2 linked regions of the Caenorhabditis elegans genome follow. The protein of the gene in region 2 purifies or fractionates together with the protein of the main gene of each other region. This does not show direct contact. Each region holds a gene or a part of one and is shown on either strand. Other genes may lie near its edges.

Region 1 (4,309 bases), on a different chromosome or scaffold from region 2:
AAACCTTCAATCATCGATAATGGAGATGGATTGTTTGAAACTCATGTCAAGTTGGAAGATATTCAAATTCTAATTAAAGAACAGATGAATACTGATTCAAAGCTTGGAGAGAAGACCAAATTAACAGTGGTGGGAGATGGAAATGTATGTTCTTATTTGTTGTAGCTGTTCTTCTTTTGCTAAATATTTAATTTTAGGGATTCATGAGTCGTGTGGTACTTGTGGAAGCAGATTGGACTATTCCTAACGAGAACCTTCCAGAAAAAATCATATTAAAACTGACATCTTGTATCAATGTTCACCACCTTGTTTCACAGATGAAAGAGAAAAACCCAGATGCATTCACTGAACAACAAGAAGCTGAATTATGGGCCATGTTCGAAAGAGAAGCTCAGAATGTGCACAATCGAGAAGTCAATCTCTATAGGATAACTGAGAAATGGAACAAGAATGACGCGCTGTTGAGTCCAAAGATTTATTTCTACAAGAAATTCGACTGTGAAAACAAGACTCAGGGAGTTTTGGGAATGGAGTATGTGGATGATGCTGTTGTTAGGCATCTCTATTGTAATGCAAAACCACACGAGTTGCATCCAGTTAGTTTGAATGATTTAAACCATAAATTAAGCACAGCATTCAGATTTTACAATCATTGGCAACACTTCAAGCGGGAAGTCTTCATTTAACGGAAGATGAAATCAATAGTATTTCTGGATATGATTTTAAATCAATGGTTGGAAGAATGATGAGTGAAGAAGGAATGAAGCAAATGTACACTCGAGCACGTCAAATTAATCCGGAACGTCTGACAAAACCTACAGATGCAGTCGAAGCATTAGGAATGGATATCGTCAACTTTGAGATTTCATGTCATGTGAACAAGTACGCTGGTGAGTTCTGGTTTTTAATTTATGAGAATCAATCAAATCATAACTTAAATAATTAAACAATTATTTCCTTGTTTGTAAATATAATTTGGAAATTTTAGGCATTCAAAAAAATGTTCTGGTTCATGGAGATTTATGGGCAGCCAATATTTTGTGGAAAGAGAATGATGGAAACTGTGTAGCCAGCAAAGTTATTGATTATCAGGTAATAAATTAATAAATTATGAAAAACATTTTTTTATAATCGTTTTAGCTCATCCACATGGGAAATCCAGCAGAAGATCTTGTTCGTGTGTTTCTTTCCACGCTCTCTGGTGCTGACAGACAGGCTCACTGGGAGAAACTTTTAGAACAATTCTACGAGTATTTCTTGGAGGCGCTTGAAGGTAATGAGGCTCCTTACACACTCGATCAGGTAATAATACTAGTTTCCTTTATCAATACTGATTAATTTACTTCCAGTTAAAAGAGTCATATCGGTTATATTTTGTTGGTGGTGGTCTTTTTGTGATGCCACTGTTTGGCCCTGTTGCTCAGGTAGTCAATACGTACAAGTATTCTCTAATAGTTAATTAATTACAGGCTAAACTTTCGTATTCGACTGATAATGAGAACGTGGAGGAGTATCGTGAGGTTCTCACTGAAAAAGCTGAACGTCTCATGGAAGACTTAAAGCGATGGCACTTGTACAGTAAAGATGTGACAAAGGATTTAGAAACGGCGGAAAAGTTGACTTTATGATAAGAATACCGATAAAATTATGAAATTTCTCGAAACTTTTGAATTGTGAAGCAACTTCTTAATAAAGTAACTCATTGACTTTAATTTTTAAACCACGGCTTAGAGAAAATTAAAAATCAAACACTGCAGCTTTTTTGATGCGAAAATTCATTGATATGGAACAAACCTCAAATTTGATAAATAATACAATAATTTGTCAAGAAATCACAAAAACGTTCTTTTGAAATGCAAGTTATAAGACATACGCAAGATGTTATGTCGGTGGCTGGTTTTAACTATAAAATACGAAACAATTGACCTCCTGACACAAAATTTCCGAGCTTGATTTGTCTGATATCATTTGTGCTTTGGAATTATTGTTTCATGTGCATAAAATCTACACTGTGTTCATTCACGATAAGAAGAATTTCAGACAGAAACCACAGGAGGTTCATCGATATAAAATGCTAATCATTTGATTTAAAGAACCATACTCTTTTTACTCTCGTCGTTAAGAAATGACTGCAGAAAAATTAACGATTCTCGATAATGGAGAAGGTTTATTTCAAACACACGTTTATGTGAAAGATGTTCAAGAAGCTATTGGAGAACAGATGAACACTGAGTCAAGACTCGGAGAAAATACCAAATATACTGTTGTTGGAGACGGAAATGTAAGTCTAAATTTTTGAATGATATAAACACTGAGATTTCAGGGATTCATGAGTCGAGTAGTTCTTGTCGAACCGGAATGGACCATTACGGAAAATCATCTCCCAAAGAAATTTATTTTGAAAATCTGCTCATCCTTACATGTACATGGAATTGTTGATAAAATGAAAGAGTCTAACCAGAGCATAAATGAAAATGAAGAAGAGTTGTGGGCAATGTTTGAAAATGAGGCTCAACATCTTCATAATCGAGAAGTTAACTTTTACGTGCTAGCTGAGAAGTGGAATAAGCCGGAGGAGCTTCTCAACGCGAAAATATTTTTCTCGAAGAAGTTTGATTCTGAGAACAAGCTCAAAGGATTTTTGGGAATGGAATATGTCGATGATGTGACGATCAGACATCTGTACTGTAATTTAAAGCCGTATGAGTTGCATCCAGTGAGTTTTCAATTATCTAAACTGTATCTTTTGTTTTATTCTAAGGTTCTAAAGGCAGTTGCACAACTCCAAGCCGAGAGCCTTCACTTGAGTGATGAGGAACTTCAAAGTATTTCTGGATTTGATTTCAAACAAATGATGGGTACGATGTTCAACGACGATGGTCTAAAAGGGAATTATAAACAAACAAGAGATATTAATCCGGAACGTCTCAAAGAGAAAACCGACATTGTTGAAGCGTTTGGAATGGAAGTTGTCAATTTTGAATTTGCTGGTAACCTAAATAAAGTCGTCGGTGGGTAAAATGAGAATGATATTCTGATGGTAAACTTTACTTAGGAATTCATAAGGATGTTTTGGTACATGGTGATCTTTGGGCAGCCAATATTTTATGGAATGAAAACGATGGAAAGTTTTCCGCAAGCAAGGTTATTGATTATCAGGTGAGACTTTGAGATATTTCGAAGAAAGTCAACTAGAAAAATATTATCATCAGATTATTCACATGGGAAACCCAGCTGAGGACTTGGTTCGAGTTTTCCTCTGTACACTCTCCGGAGCAGATCGACAAGCTCATTGGGAAAAGCTTCTTGAGCAATTCTACGAATATTTCCTTGAAGCCCTTGAAGATAATGAGATTCCGTACACTCTTGATCAGGTAAGAATCAACCTAACTAATAGCCGCTTAACATATTTTTGATTTCAGCTTAAAGAATCTTATCGTTTGTACTTTGTAACCGGAAGTCTTGTAATGTTGCCACTGTACGGACCAATTGCGCAGGTACAATTGAAAAAAACAACTTGAAGTTTTTTACAAGAATCATTTTTCAGACAAAACTATCATACTCAAAGGATACCGAACATGTCGAGGAATATCGTGAAATCTTGACTGAAAAAGCTGAAAAACTTCTTGAAGATATGGAGCATTGGCATTTTTACAGCAGAAATTTGACAGGACGCCAAGAAAAAGATTCTGTGACTAATTAATTTATGATTTAATATGTATGAGATTGATATAAATGCTTACCTAGAAATACCTGATTTAGTGAGTTCAAACAAAATCGAACACGCAGAGGATTGTAGCAAAAACAATAACTTCCTTTTTTGTTCAAACGTAATAATCTTTCGATGTTCTAGTTTTTGGTTCATAACAATGTTTGGCCAGAGAACAGGAAGGATGAGGATCATAAAGTGGTACAGTGTCAGGGTATTGTGGTTTTTTGATTTTTTTTTTGTCATCCATCCGTAGAGAAAAATGTATATTTCAGGAAAACTAATCCTTTATACCCTTCTTAACTACACAATTTGACAACAAAACTGGTGATTAGTATAAATTTTTAGAAAACTAAACTCTACATAAACACACGTGATTGAACTATAACAGACGACCTCTTTTTACCACTAATTCTCTCACAATTGCGACATAAAACCCACTGTGATTTTTTTGTGTGTCGATAAGGAAAGCGGCAGAGACCACACCGTGCTCTATAATATAAAGTTGACAGCCATTTGTCGCTTTCAGATTCAGTTTTGATTGGAGTGAAGAAACGATGACAGAGGCTGAGAAGAAATCAACGATTCTTGACAACGGAG
Region 2 (6,089 bases):
TTAACAGTTTTTCGCCTAAAACGCCAGAAAGAATTGAAAAAAACGGAATTATTTTTAATTCTCCATATTCGATTTGTAAAATATATTTTCGATTTTTTCGCAAAAATTGATGTAAAACTGCCGATTTTTAGACCAAATCTATAGTTTCAGTCAATTTTTTCGAGTGACCAAGTTTCACCAAAGCCTAAATCTTGGCCATCCAATAAAAATTGACCGAAGCTGTAGATTTGGCCTAAAAAATCGGTGATATCGGTGATTAAAATAAATTTTTAAGCGGAAAAAATGCCTGAAAAACCGAAAAAAAAAGTTTAGCATTCGAATTATTAGGGAAAAAAAATAAAGAAAAAATCATGAAATATAGCCGGAAAACGCAAAAATATCGAAACTAAGTCACTTATTTGAGCGGAAATTCAGAAATAATACTTTTCTATTTTCTAATTTAAGTTCTCTGTGATTTTTAGCAAAAAACCACAGAAACCTTTAAAATTCATAAAATAAAATATCTGATTTTTCAGGTGGTTTGAAGAAGTCTCGAATTCCACTGATATTATCCCGAATCCCTTGATATCGGCCTGCTTCTTCTTCAGACAATTACATCGAAAATCATCAATTCTTCATGATCTCTACCTATTTCGTCGGAAACTACCACACGAATCATTTAATCTCATTCAAAGCATAATATCATCATTTTATTCCTCAAATTATCGCCGATTTTTCGATATTTTCCAACAACTCGATCCACTTCTCAAGCACTCACTCTCGGATTGTGTCTCAATTCTTCGTCAATCAGCGATGAAAAATATATCCGTGGCATTCAAGACTCCTGTCGCTAGGCTTCCATCTCAATTGCTATCCGATTGGCTTGGATTTCCAGCGAATCTCGAATTTTTCGACGATTTTCTTCGTTTGTACAGTGTGATTCCTGATGAGCAAGGAAATATTCTGATTTCTGCTCTACGACCACCCGTGGAAATTTCGTATCAAGATTTTTCTTCGAGACAATATGAATAAATTTATTGTGATTTATTGGATTTTTAATATTTTTGAATTTTTTTGTTATAACGACGCTTCAAATGCGTATTTGATACTTGTCAATTAATTTTTTCTTTGGTTTTTCAGGAAAAATCGCTTTTTTAAAATTCAAAAGATAAAAAAATGACCGAAATTTATTGAAATTTAAGTTTTTTTGTTAAAAAAAAAGCTTTAAAAAAGCAAAAAATATTAAAATTGAGGTTTTTTTTTCTTTAGAAAAAGCGAAAAAAATATCAGTTTGAGATTTTTTTTTTCTATAAAAAGTGAAGAATATTAAAATTTAGATTTATTTTCCCAAAAAAAAAGCGAAAAATATTCGAATAAATATTTTTTACGAAAAAAGCGACAAATATTGAAATTGAGATTTATTTTTCCAAAAAATATTCAAATGAAGATTTTTTCCAAGAAAAAAAACCGAAAAATATTGAAATTAAGATTTTTTTCAAAAAAAAGCAGTCAAAACACATTTAAAAATGTTGAATAATTCTCAATTTGAATATTTTTCGCTCTTTTTTGGAAAAAAAATCCAAAAAAAAAACGAATAATATTCAAATTGAGTTTTATTTTTCCAAAAAAGCGAAAAAAAGTCGATTTCCCAACATTTTTTAAAGGAATTTTCTTCTTTATTTTCTCATTAAAAATCAGCATTTTTATTCATTTTTATCCGATGAAAACGCCCAAATTTCCAGAACTAATGGATGGTGTACTGATGGTATCGGATCTATCATGGATCCAACGTGGAGTTGCAAAAGAAATTCCAGACAAAATCAAGTTGGACGACGAAAAGCTAAAAGAGCTGATCGAAGGAGCAATTCCAGAATCAACTGATAATGAAACAGAGCTTGACGATGATGAAGAATCAGATAATGAGAAATTAAAAGGACTACGTGGAAGAGGAGATGTTGAAATGAAAGATGAAGAATCAGAATTTGAAAAGAAATATATGAAAGGATATAATGAGAATATCAAAGATGAACCAGAAGGACAAGATGGAATGAAAGGAATTGCAATGTATTCAACGAATAAAGATGATCCATATGTTACAGAACAGGTTGATTCTGATGAAGAAGAGGAAAAAGATGAGATTATGGTTCGAAAAGATGATAATATGGTCGCTGTTGCCAAAATTGATAAGGTTACTTTACTAGAATTTAAATAAATTAAAAAATTGATCTAAAATATTCAAAATGACAGAAAAAAGTTAAAAATCAGGTTGAAAATTTTTTGCACATCCATTTATCCAATTTTCGTATTTTTTTTTGGTTTTCATTTTGAGCTAAACCGAAAAAAATTCTGAAAAAAATTTTTCATCGATTTTTTACCTTTTTCCTTTTATATAAAATAAAATTTTTTTTATTAAATATATTTTACATCAACAAAATTATTTTTCAATTTTTAGATAACAAGAACATTTTTATTTATCAAAAAAAAAAAAACATACAAAATACTTACGAAACTGGGAAAAAAACTAAAAAAAAAACTATAAAAATTCCACTTTAAAGGCGCATTTTTTTCGCATTTATCGAAAATTTGTCGCGTCGAGACCGGATACCGTATTTTAAACGAAAAATCGATTTTTTTTTTGCGTTTTGATAATATTGAGCAAACTAAATTAAAAAAAAAAATAAATAAGAAACTGAAAAGTCAAATTTTCAAAAAAACAATAAAAACTTTCGAAAACTAGTTAAAATTTATAACAATTAGGTTAAAAAACCGAAGAAAAATGAAATTAAAAAATTTTTTTTAAGTGAAATTTTCAATAAATAGGAAAAAAATAAAAACTAAAAAAAATACAAAAAAGCACTATTTTCAATAGTAAAATTTTGAAAAAAAAAAACGAAAAAAGTTAAATTTAAAAAATAATGAAAATTTCAAAAAAACTATTGTAAGAAAAAAATTAAAATGCTTTAAAAAATCGAAAAAAAGAGAAAATTTTCAAAATTTCAAAAAAAAATCTCAAATTGTAATTTTCAAAAAAAAATGGAGGTTAAAAAAATTTAACCTAAAATGTTAAAAATTAATTTGTAAAAATTGTTTAAAAAACCGAAGAAAAATTAAATTTTCACAAAAAAATATTAAAAAAAGTGAAATTTTCAACAAAAACGAGAAAAAGAGTATAGAGAAAGTTTAAAAGCATAATTTCAAATTCCTAATTTTTCCAGGGTGACTTCACACTCGAGTGCTACGTATACAATGAAGCTGACAGTGATTGGTACTGTCATCATGACTATATTCTCGATGCTCCACCATTGTGCATTGAACCAGTTCAACATGATCCAGGAAACGAGGAAACAGGAAAAGGAAATCTACTGGCCGTCGGAACAATGAACTCGGAAATTCATATTTGGGATCTCGATATTATGAACACTGCAACCCCGTTTTTGACTCTGGGAAAAAAGGAACGAAAAGTGAAAGGAGCTGCACGAAAGAAGCGTGATAATAGTGCTCAAGGACATACTGATGCAGTTATTTCACTTGCTTGGAATCGAATTACAACTCATGTTCTTGCTAGTGGAGGTGCTGATAAAACAGTTGTCCTGTGGGATCTTGATGAAGCTAAACCGGCTCAAATCATTCCTGATCAGGGTGGAGAGATTCAGACAATGAAATGGCATCCAAATGAATCCACATTCTTATTGCTCGGAACTATGAAGGGACAAGTCAACGTTGTTGATTGTCGTGAATCTTCTGGAAATGCTTCAGCCGCGTGGAAATTCGATGGACAAATTGAAAAAGTGATCTGGAATCATTTTAATCCATTCACCGCGTTCTGCTCGTCTGATGATGGAAGACTTCGTCATTTGGATATGCGGAAACCTGGTGAATGCCTTTGGGAAGGTGTTGCTCATGATGGTCCGATTGGTGGACTTACTCTTTCTGCACTTACTAAAGGATTGCTGGTTACTGTTGGCGAAGATGAGGTACTAGAAATGCGCTCGAAATGGAGAAAAATTTAAAAAATTGAAAAAATTACTCCGAAAGACTCAAAATTACTAGAAAAAGCTAAATTTCCCTATGAAAAAAATTCCCAAGAAAAAAAAACGTTTTTAGAGCGGTTAATTTTTTTTCTGGAATAAAAAAAAATTTAAAAATTACTCTAAAGTACTCAAAATTGTACTTTAAAAAGTTAAATTTCTTAATGAAAAAATTTTCAAAATCCTTTTTTCTGCAAAAACATGATTTTTTTTCGTTTTTTTTTCAATCCCGAAATTTTTGGTCAAATCGGCAAAATTGGTTAAAAATTAGTGTTTTTGTGATTTTTGCGACAAAAATTACATTACCTATGGTCTCGGCAGTTTTTTTTGTTGAATTTAAAAAGGTGTGCGCCTTTAAAGATTACTGTAATTTCAAACTTTCGTTTCGTTGCGGAATTATTTTCAATCGATTATTTTCATAGTTTTTCTCACGATTTGTTAGAATTTATGTGTTTCTTTGAGTTAAAAAACAAACAAATTATAATTGAAAAAAAATTACAGTACTCTTTAAAGGCGAACACATTTTTAAATTCAACAAAAAACTGTCGTGTCGAGACCCGAAATCGTATTTTTCAAAAAAAATTGCATCCGGATAATATTTAGAGTTGAGAAATCCAATTTTGCCGATTTAATCAAACGAAAAAACGAAAAAAATCAAAATTAAAAATTCCAGAAGTATATATTTTTGCAAAAAAAAATCTAAAAAGTCGTATTTTTAAATGAAAAATAATGCAGGCGTCTAAAAACTTTCGTTTTTACCGCTTTTTTCTAAAAAAAATCCTCAAAAAATGAGAAAAATGACCAAAATTTGAGGCGATTTTTGGAAATTGGAAACAGCCAAAATTTTCGATTTTTCGAAATTATTATAAATCTGGACGAAAATTTAAAAAAGTTGTACAATAGTCACAATAACTCAAAAATGTTTCAAAAAAAAACCCCATCGAAATCAAAAATTTCCAGATGATGAATGTTTGGAAAGTTGAAGACACCAATGGAGGAATCGAAAAAGTTCATTCGGAGAAGCTGACCATCGGAGAGCTCCATTGTGCTCAATTCAATCCAGACGTGGCAGCAGTTCTTTCTGTTGGTGGAACTGCCGCCGATTTGATCCGTATCATCGATTTAACCAAATACGAACCGGTCGTCAAAGCATTCTCGGAATGAAATCTCTGAATTTTTGCCTTCTCTGTTTTCCAGTTTTTTTTTCGCCTGTTTTTGTTACGTTTGTTCCTGTTACACTTTACCAAGCTTTGTTGTTGTAATAAACTCTAATTTTGAGTACTCAAAAAAATTCAAAATTTATTATTTACATCCAAAAAAAAAGATTAAATATCAAAAATAATCGAATCTTCATCAATAAAAGGGATATTCGGATGAGAAAGGCTCAATTTGTCGGGAATTAAATTTGGAACATTTTCACGATTTTTGTGAATTCCAGTGTTTTTGCGGATCCGGATGCATGATAAGACCACGAGGAGAATAAGGAAAAAAGATATGATGATAAATCCAATCTGAAAATAAATTTTTTGAAAATACATTAGAATTTGCTGAAAACTTTGAAAAATTGAAAAATTCCTTTTTTCTATAATTTTTTCCGATTGAAACATAAAAAAGCCAGAATTTATTTTTTAAAAATTTTTTAAAAGAGAAATTGTCCATTTTTCAATAATTTTTGGGAAAAATCTTTTTTTGAGAAAATCAAATAATCAAACAAAAATTTCCAAAAAATTATCGGAAAAAATCGGAAAACTGTAAATTTACTACTTAGACGCGAAAATTTGCGATTTTTTGCGTTCTTGGTCTCGACGCGACAAATTTTTGGTTAACGCAAAACGTTGTGCGCCTTTTAAGAGTACTGTAGTTTCAAAATTTTTCTTTCGTTTCAGTGGAATTTGGTCCGATTTTTTTTTTTTCATATTTTTCCGTTATTTAACAGTATATTTATTTCACAGTTAAAATGCGATGTGCGCATAGTGCTTTCGGCGTGGATCGCGCGTGGGAGAAAAAGGAACCGGAAATGATGCCCATTGCGCGCGCATTGTGCGTCCATCGCGAACTTGAGATGCATTTTGCGAGCATCGC

The links.
Region 1: the proteins of pwp-1 (region 2) and T16G1.6 fractionate together in Caenorhabditis elegans (co-fractionation; one large-scale study listed by BioGRID). This does not show direct contact.

What each region holds. Positions count from the first base shown.
Region 1 is NC_003283.11:12,934,976-12,939,284, reverse strand, and holds T16G1.6 (CHK kinase-like domain-containing protein), read left to right. Parts: upstream 1-2,110; 5' UTR 2,111-2,125; coding exon 2,126-2,281; intron 2,282-2,323; coding exon 2,324-2,716; intron 2,717-2,761; coding exon 2,762-3,011; intron 3,012-3,055; coding exon 3,056-3,159; intron 3,160-3,212; coding exon 3,213-3,374; intron 3,375-3,422; coding exon 3,423-3,497; intron 3,498-3,547; coding exon 3,548-3,703; 3' UTR 3,704-3,747; downstream 3,748-4,309. Other genes in the region: T16G1.5 (CHK kinase-like domain-containing protein), read left to right, coding at 1-144, 198-596, 641-890, 989-1,092, 1,141-1,302, 1,350-1,424, 1,470-1,628; T16G1.7 (CHK kinase-like domain-containing protein), read left to right, coding at 4,267-4,309.
Region 2 is NC_003282.8:13,232,218-13,238,306, reverse strand, and holds pwp-1 (WD_REPEATS_REGION domain-containing protein), read left to right. Parts: upstream 1-1,721; 5' UTR 1,722-1,726; coding exon 1,727-2,167; intron 2,168-3,194; coding exon 3,195-3,953; intron 3,954-4,967; coding exon 4,968-5,171; 3' UTR 5,172-5,287; downstream 5,288-6,089. Other genes in the region: tag-115 (SAC3/GANP/THP3 conserved domain-containing protein), read left to right, coding at 516-1,011; C48D1.5 (Glycoprotein), read right to left, coding at 5,333-5,518.